2 linked regions of the Caenorhabditis elegans genome follow. The protein of the gene in region 2 interacts with the protein of the main gene of each other region in a pairwise test. Each region holds a gene or a part of one and is shown on either strand. Other genes may lie near its edges.

Region 1 (5,499 bases), on a different chromosome or scaffold from region 2:
CTCTTGAAATATAACCTATGCATCGTGAGATTACATACTTGACGACTTTTGATCGCTAACATATTTGTAAGATATTTGAATACTGCTAATGTCTGAAATTAAACGCTAATTAGGATGAGAAAATATCGAATTTCGATCTTACAAAAGCTTTTCCAAGAATAATCGCGGCTCCCCGTGCACACAGAATTTTAAACGTGTCAGCATCCTTGTTTCCCAGTGCCACGTAGAACAGACTTGGCTGGATTCCAACTAAATACGTCATTACTTGATCGAGAGCAGTTGCGATGAGCAGTGCTCCGGCGAGCCACGCGGTTATCGATCGACGATGACATGGAAACAGGATTTTAAGAAGACGCCAGAACCTCCGAAAGAAGAGGAAGTCGAGGGCCAATCTGGCCATTTTGACCGGATTTTGGGCCGAGGCGTTTTTGCGACCTGAAATTTTGTGATTAGGAAGGCTTTTTTCAGAAGATGCCCCAGAAATAGACATTAAGAAGAGGAGGAGTGGAGTTGAATTCAAGAAAAATAGTGAATTTCAGTGGAGATTTTAGACAAACTTGAAGCTTTTTTTATGACTGGACAATTCTACTGAGATCAACCGGAGCAAAAAACAAAGCATTTTTCTGGAATTTAAAATGTTTCAAGGAGAATATTTAAGACAACCAAACACCATTCAAATCCGAAACAAAAAAGAAAAGAAACGTAGGCCGGCCATACCATCCCATTCAAACCAAATGAGGTCGATAAAGGCGTTGAAAAGAGCACAAAGAAATGAGCACAGAGACGTGGACAATGAAGAACAGAAATGGATAATGATTATCACCTTTTTCTGTTCGTACTTCTTCCAGTTGAATTTCTTGATCCGACTCCATGCGGGATGTGCAATCTGGAAAGAGCTGGCTGTGAGTGAACATGCAAAAACATAATTTATATTTACAATAACAATAGAGATAACGACGATCAAAACAAAACTAAAAAACAAAAGCTATTCAAGGTGCTGCTGAGTTTTTGTGCATTGATAACAATTCAGTTTTACAGAAAAAAAAACAGAAAATGAAGCTTTCGGCATAAATTATTACAATTTTATGTTCCAAACATAAATAAACAGACTATAATGATTCGAATATTTTGAGAAAAAGCTTCAGTTTTCGACGGTTTTGCAGGAATAAGTTCGGTCAGCTGTACACGCAAATACATTTGCGTCCGCACACAGTGTAACGAGGAGAGTGGGGGACAGGAGAAAGTGAGGCAAGCGGAAAGAGAGATTGCAAACGCAGACGATGAAGAAAAAAATGATGGGCGGGGAAGCATTGGGCACTTTTTGGGGGAAAGATGAGGACCCTTTGATATTCAGAATTTTATATTCAGATTTATAACGTGATTCGTGCGAGGAGAATTATCAGTTTTATATAGGATCTTTGAGTTGAAATAAGACGAGAATTTAATTTTTTATCAACAAAAAATCGGGAAGATATGTAACGAATTTCTTGAACGGAAAATAGCAAGGAATCTTAAAAATTTATGAAAAATAAATTGCAATTTTCATACTGTAGAAATTAAAGGGACATTACGAATAAGCCGAATAAGGCCTCGGCACGATTTCAAAAATGCAAATACGCTCTGTTGGAATTTGCTTTTCCCGCTCAGTTTTTTAAATTTTAAAACTTTTTTTTTCATTCTTTTTCATTTTGGCTCCTCAAGATTGTTCCTGCTTTTCGATCGTTTTTTCGAAACCGAAAATTACGAAAATACACCCAGATTTTGGCGATTTTTGTAAGCCTTTCTATAGTTTTTAATCCCCAACAAAAATTATATTTTTTAAGCCGACGGAGAGAATCCAATCCCTCGACATTTACGGAAGATCGCCTCAAAAAAGGAAATGAGTACAAAAAGAAAGATTGTGGTTTCTTCGGGTAAAAAACAAATTGCATTCTGTGCAAATGTGTATTACGAAATTTCTTTTTTTAAGATTCCGATGATGATATGCCATTCACCCAGGAAAAGCAAAAGAAGGCAGCGACACCGGCGAAAAAAAGGGTTCGGAAATTCATGTGAACTGAACCCTCATTGAGAAATGTTTCAGACAAAGCCAGTAGTACTAACCGATGACGACGAAGAAGAAGAAAATGCACCTCAAAAAAAGACTGCACCAAAAAGATCGAGAAAGCAAGAAAAAGAAGAGAGCGATGTGAGAAAGCACTCTAATATCCATGAAATATCGCAATAATTAGCTTTTAGATAACCTCTGACGAAGACGAGCTCGTGCGCGGAACTGATGAAAAAAAGAAAAGAAAGGGTGGAAAAAAGGAGTTACCAGTTGGTCAAAAAACGCTGGATTATATGTTCAAACCTTCTTCGTCATCTTCGAAACGTGATGATCCTAAGAAAAAAGTCGAAAAAACATTAGTGAATCCCGCAGACTTCTTCAAAAACTCACCAGCGCCATCTGCATCAAAACTTCCAAAAGTTGCTCCGAAAACTGTTGAAAAACCAAAAACGCCAGCTAAGAAGCCAGTGGAGATCAGCCCGTCGACCAAAGAAAACACTAAAACAAAGAAAGTGTCGGACGATGAGTTCGTAGATTCTGATGATAGTTTTGACACGTTCACTCCTATTACTGTGAAAAAGAAGACACCTGAAAAGAGAAAGGAGACCCCGAAAAAGAAAGAGCTTCCTTCTGTCAAAAAAGAATTCCCAAAGAAGCAATCAATTCCTGTCAAAAAAGAAAAAGAAACTCCACAGAAAAAGGCGTTATCAGTGAAAAAAGATCCACCGAAAGTAACCTCCGAGTCATCTTCGTCGAGTCAAGTTTCCACGTCATCAGTCGTTTTTCAACCGAAACCAAGTGGGCCACCCCCAGCACTTTCATGGGTTGATAAGTATAAGCCGAAAAGGATGGGAGAACTTGTTGGCCAGAATGGAGACAAAAGCCCAATTAATAAGCTTTTGGAATGGATTAAAGACTGGGCAAAACACAATCTTGGCGAAGGGGCAAAAATTAAGAAGCGTAAGTAATTTTATTTCTATTTTATTATAATATTATCGGCAATTTTCAGCAAAACCAGCTCCATGGATGTCATCTCAAGATGGTACATCATTCAAAGCAGCTCTTTTATCGGGTTCTCCTGGAGTTGGAAAGACTACATGCGCCTATATGGCTTGTCAACAACTGGGCCTTCAACTTGTCGAAATGAATGCATCAGATGTGCGTAGTAAGAAACATCTCGAAGCGAAAATTGGCGAACTCTCTGGTTCTCATCAAATTGAGCAGTTTTTCGGAGCGAAAAAGTGTGCTCCACAAGATAATCAAAAGGTTCATCATATCCTGATTATGGATGAAGTCGACGGAATGTCTGGAAATGAGGATCGAGCTGGTGTGAGTTTAAATGAAGAACTAATATATTAATATTCAAATGTTTATTTTTACAGATCTCTGAGCTCATCCAAATTATCAAGGAGTCTAAAATTCCAATTATTTGCATTTGTAATGACCGGCAGCATCCGAAAATTCGTACACTGGCCAACTATTGCTATGATCTTCGTTTTCCAAAGCCACGTGTCGAGACTATTCGTTCTCGGATGATGACCATCTGTTCTCAGGAAAAAATGAAAATTGGCAAAGAAGAATTGGACGAAATTATCGAGTTATCCGGTCATGACGTCCGGCAAACAATTTACAACCTGCAAATGAGGTCAAAGGGAGTTGGAGCAAAGATCAACCAGAAGGATATGGCTGTGGTAGGTCTCCTAGCCGTGAAATTTTGCGATTTTCGCGCCAAAAATGGGGTACTTGGTCTCGATACGAAACTTGCGCCTGGTTATACAAATTCTGAAATCTTAACAACATTTTCAGGATGCATTCTCGGCGGCTCGTCGTCTCCTGGATTCTCGTACGACATTAATGGAAAAGCAGGAAATGTTCTTCACTGACTATGGAATCATGCCACTTTTCGTCCAGGATAATTATCTCAATATGAAAAATGAAAAGCATAGTCCAATCCAAGCGATCCGTGGAATACGAAAAGCTGCAGACTTCATTTCCCTTGGAGACCTTATTGATCGGCAAATTCGTGGTGGAGGATCCTGGAAGTTGCTCAATGAGCAGAGCATGATTTCTGCTGCACTTCCAGCGATTGCCACTGGTGGACATTTGAAGGCAATGATTCAGTTCCCATCGTGGTTGGGAAAAAACTCGACAGCTGGAAAACGGAAGAGATTGCTTCAGCAACTGGTTCAACACACACATCTCAAGTAAGTTACGCTAAATTCATTATGGGAATTAGGAATTTATTTATTACTTTCAGAGTTTCTGCTGGTACTCACTCATTTGCCACTGATTATGCTCCAATGCTCCGTCAGAAAATAACGAAACCACTTCTTGAACATGAAGCTGATGGAATTCCAGATGTGATCAGCACAATGACAGAATACGATCTCATCAAAGACGACACTGAAGCACTCACAGAAATTGTTGCTTGGCCTGGAAAAATTGATCCGGCTAGTAAAATTTTGAGTAAGGTGAAAGCATCATTGACTAGAACTCTAAACAAGACTGGTCGAATGCTTCCATACTCGATGGATTCTGTGTCAAAAGGAAAGAAACGAGGTGTGAATTCAATTGGAATTGAAATGGACGAAGAAGGAAATCTAGTGGAGAAATTTGAAGATGAAGATGGAGAATCCGATAATGAGGATAACGAGGAGAAAACTACTGATGTTGTTATTAAAGTTAGGACTGGTGGAGGTGCCGGAGCTTCAAAATCTGCTCGAGGTGGACGTGGTGGTGGTCGGGCTCGTGGAGGAAGAGGAAGCAAGAAATGATTATAGATGTCCAGTATTATTCTAACTATTACCGTAAACTTGCAATAAACCCTCTTGAATGATCACTATTTCGACAAAGCAGATATTCTTGCAGGAAAACTATTAAAAACTGGATAAAAAATCATGTTACAACGATTTATTTGAGCACGATGAAACAATTTAATTTTAGTCATTTTGCACCAGGAGGACAACGTATTATGGTTTTGCCAAAAATGTTGAAAATTTCGTTCAAGATCATTGAGATATTCACAACTGTTTTCTATATTTGTCAAGTTAGTTCGCATTGAAAGAGAAATCAACTCTGACTAAATTGAAGACAATAGAATCGTTGTGAAAACTGGATGAACCACGAAATTTCGCGATATAGTGGTCTTTCATAAAAAGGAATGAAATCGTAGGGAATTGGACCAGCAATTGTGAAAGCATCGGGAGGGATTGTAACATAGAAAATGTGGTAATGGAGTGCACGTGGTGTCAAAGTGTCCCATATTGGTTTGATCTACGTAGAAAACGTCGTAGATCTACATAAATGCGGGAGAAGAGACGCAGAGTTCTCAACTAATTTTGCATGGTTAAAAACGTGCCGACGTCACATTTTTTGGGCAAAAGATTCCCGCATTTTTTTGTAGATCAAACCGTGATGTGACAACCTGATACCACGTGGGAGTGGACTAGAAA
Region 2 (3,714 bases):
GTGTAAGTTTTACATAAGTAATTGGAGAATCCGAGTTCATGATTAATTTCAGGAGTCTATTCCGGATGTGGATTCAGCTTTAGAGCCGACTCGCGATAAGCTTAGACCTGTCGCAAAAGAGCAGCTCATCGAAGCCGAGGAAGATCAGGCTTTCTTGAAGAAGTTGATGGACATCCTGGCAACTTCAACCACTACGGCCGCTCCCAAGCCGAGGACTATGCAAGAAGAGCCTACCGATAAGGACAGTCCACTCGCCAATTTCTTCTCCAACTTGCTCAATAAGGTAAATCAATCTTAGATCTTTTTTCTATGTGAATTTCCATATTTCAGGACAAGCCGAGCAAGGTGAGCTCTCCTTCCACTGTTTCCCAGCCGATGGATGCCGCAGCCACCCAGGCCCAACTCGATCGTCTTCTGAAGTCTGCGCAAAGCCCGAAACCTCAACCCCGGGACAGTGATGCATAACGTCATTTTCATAATCTATTTAAATATTTTAAGCTTTATCGCCGGTCATTTTATTCTCCTTTGCGATACGATTTTTATTATATGCTGTTTCTGTAAATACCCACACAACCATAATGTAGTTCGTTTCAAGTTTATGATTACACAAAAGTAGAATAATATAATACGCGGGGACAGAGATCACTTGGGTTTAGAAGCATTAGTAAGGTAAATGTCCATGAAAGCGGCGACGAATCCTTCAAGATGGAAAATTGCTTTTTGTCCGAGAACAAGGCGATGCTCGAATTTCGCTGCTTCACTGACAACTTCACGTGCAATTTGTGGCGGACATTTGGGAAGGAGATGCTCGAGAAGTTTCTGAAAATGTATTTCTAAATATTTTTGAACATTTTATACTATTTGTGTGCTTATAACTCACCTTAAAAATGACAGTTGGTGGAATACATCTGGAGAGCAATTCGTACAATCGTTCGCGAACTTTCAGAAGCATATCGGAGCTCTGTTTCTGGAGGATCAGACGAGCAGTCTCTTGGATATAAATCTCCCATTCCGGAACCGGAATTACTACACTTTCAGCCACACCACTCTCGTTCTCCATTCTTAAAGCCTCAGTCATCAGAATAGCTCTTCTCAGATTTCCTTCAGACTTCTCCACAATCTTTTGCAAAACGTTCTCCGGAAGTAGAAAGCTCTCCCGTTCAATCACTTTCCGCAAGACTTTGGTCACATCTTCATCGGTTGGAGCTGGCACATTGATGATGATGCAACGAGATTGAAGTGGCTCAATGATACGGGACAGGGATTCACAGCTCAAAACGATTTTACAGTTATTCGCGTACTTCTCCATAGTTCGACGAAGTCCGTGTTGAGCATCACGAGTCAGTGAGTCCGCTTCACAAAGAACGACAACTTTGAACGATCTTTGAGAAGTTGATTCGATTTGAGACGTTTGTGCCATTTCTTTAACGAGATCCTGCACAACAACTCGATCATAGATTCCAACATCAGACGGCGTCATTTCGATGTGATAATTGCTCGAGACAGTCTGTATTTCAAGTTTTTTATTCGACGGACTAGTGAACGACTTCATGATGAGCTGCGTTTTCTCGACTCCAACACCGTAAAGCTCTCTGAAAAATATTATTTTATTTACTGAATTTACCAATAATTAAACCTCAACAGACACTTGATCCGTGTCTTTTTTCCAGCTCCACTGGGACCACAGAACAAGAGATGCGGCATACAGTCTGCGGAGAGAAACTTCAAATGATTGGCCTGCTCGATGTGATAATCAACGCCATCCTTTCCCAACAAGTCCTTTGGTCGATATTTGTCCACCCACAACGCCATTTTTGCACTAGAAAAGATTAATATTATATTGTCAGAGTAATTAAAGTCCAAAATAAGCGCGAGAAATAGAAGGTGGAACCCGAAAAGTAATTCCGCGGCACGCGCTTTTATGGTAAATTAAAAAATTAAACCGTGCCGCGAATTGCGCTTCGGGAATCCGGATCCACCGTATATTTCTTGCTAAAAAAATTAAAAGACATATTCAAAGATATCACAATTGTCGCAAACAATTGAATAGAGGAATAAATAAATAGAAAATAAATAAAGAGAATTGTAATAAATTAAAAGAATTCATTTTCAGAAACTCGACAAGTCAACAACGAAATATTTTACAGGTTTAGCCTAGTGAGACGAGTGAGTGAAGATAAATAAGAAAATAATTGAGATATCTACTTGATATTCATTTTACGCTTGAGTGCGATAATGTCGTCACGGCGCTTCTTGTTCTCCACTTGTTGTTTCTCGAGGTTCGTGGCAGCTCTTCCGGGGATTAATCCTTCCTCCAGTGCCAAAGTGAACTCGCGATCCGTCAATTGAGTCGTGTCGACGAACACTTTTCTCGTAGAGTGTGGTGTGTAACCAGCACGTCGTGGAACTAAAAATTGCTATGAATTAGCGAAAAAAAGATAAATATGAATAGTTACCTCTAGTTGGAGTGGTTCCTTTTGGCGTGGAAATGTACTCGGTGAATGTATCATCTTCTGGGACAGTTGCAGGAATGATTTTTCGAGAAGTTAAACGGCATGGTTTCGGGATTTGTGACTTGGTGAGCTTCTTCACGTCCACATGAGATCTTGCAACGGACTTTGTCTTTTTGGTAGAGGTGGTGGCAGCAGATGACGATGAGCAGCCAGCTCGTGAGCTGACAAGAGCGGGAAAATCATCAGCAGATTTATCCCCGAATTGGAAGGACATTTTCTCAGGATCCTGAACTTGCCAATTGCGCGCAGCAGATCTTGTAGTTGATCTATCAACTGGGTCACGTCTTGGCACACTTTTCGGGGTAGCAAGTCTCCTGATAGCTTCTGGGACGTCGCCGGTCATGAATTCGTGTCGTTTCTTCAATCGTTCTTGACGCTCTCCGAGTGTTTCTTCTTTTTCCATCTCTCTTGCATGAATCATTGCGAATCTGTCTCTTCCACTGGATGGAGCACGCTGACGAACTGGCGTAATTCCTCTGTTCTCGATCGGCATTCCTGGTCGCTCAGATGTTTGAGGAGTCGACGAACTAGCGCGGAGAGACAGTCTTGTCGAAAGACGATGAACTCTCGGGCGTGACTTCACCTCGAAGCTTTGCAGATCGATTCCCAAACTGCCACAGAGACGGTTTCTCAAGTCATCATCCAAAACGACAGCAACCGCATTTGTCGGAGTATTCTCGTCTGTAATAAAGCTGTTTAAATTTCAACTAAATGGAATATAACTTACGAACAAATCTGCCAGTAGTATTCTCAGTTTCTTCTTCCTCTTCAACTGTGAATGTGCGATTGGCAGGTGCTTCGTCGGTGTCCATAGCCTCGGCTTCCGGCTCTTCCCTGATTGCCTCCCCGTTTCCGGCATTATTTTGGCCAGCGAGAAACTGAAAAAGTTAAATTAATCACATTGTTTCGACTGAGTTCAAACCTCCAAAAGACGCGATTGAAGTTCCGATTTCTTTCCCGCAGTCGAAGCCCTTTTCTTCTTTAACTCCTTGCGAAGCTTGTCGCATGTCATGTTGAGCACGTCCTCTTCGGCGAGCTCTTTATTTTTGGCTGACATTTTACTGAAATTATTATTTTTATTGAATAGTGAGAACAGAAAAGCAAATGAAACAAGGAACAAATGAACAAGAAACAAAATAGGACTCAAGAAATTTCCCTCCATCGCTGTTTGAAAAATTGTGTTTTTCGCGCGGTGTACGTT

What was found. Proteins that work in one complex are often made in the same cells at the same time.
Region 1: the proteins of rfc-3 (region 2) and rfc-1 interact in a two-hybrid assay, tested with the Caenorhabditis elegans proteins (3 studies listed by BioGRID).

What each region holds. Positions count from the first base shown.
Region 1 is NC_003283.11:14,642,126-14,647,624, reverse strand, and holds rfc-1 (Replication factor C subunit 1), read left to right. Parts: upstream 1-1,645; 5' UTR 1,646-1,773; intron 1,774-1,823; 5' UTR 1,824-1,879; coding exon 1,880-1,913; intron 1,914-1,969; coding exon 1,970-2,037; intron 2,038-2,083; coding exon 2,084-2,188; intron 2,189-2,231; exon of another isoform or gene 2,232-2,238; coding exon 2,239-3,007; intron 3,008-3,056; coding exon 3,057-3,376; intron 3,377-3,429; coding exon 3,430-3,738; intron 3,739-3,853; coding exon 3,854-4,251; intron 4,252-4,304; coding exon 4,305-4,821; 3' UTR 4,822-4,958; downstream 4,959-5,499. Other genes in the region: pmp-3 (ATP-binding cassette sub-family D member 4), read right to left, coding at 1-92, 143-435, 824-872.
Region 2 is NC_003282.8:13,093,867-13,097,580, reverse strand, and holds rfc-3 (Replication factor C subunit 3), read right to left. Parts: upstream 1,820-3,714; 5' UTR 1,813-1,819; coding exon 1,637-1,812; intron 1,593-1,636; coding exon 881-1,592; intron 820-880; coding exon 643-819; 3' UTR 501-642; downstream 1-500. Other genes in the region: dli-1 (Dynein light intermediate chain), read left to right, coding at 1-2, 53-283, 331-465; C39E9.12 (SAP domain-containing protein), read right to left, coding at 2,202-2,407, 2,457-3,194, 3,241-3,391, 3,436-3,570.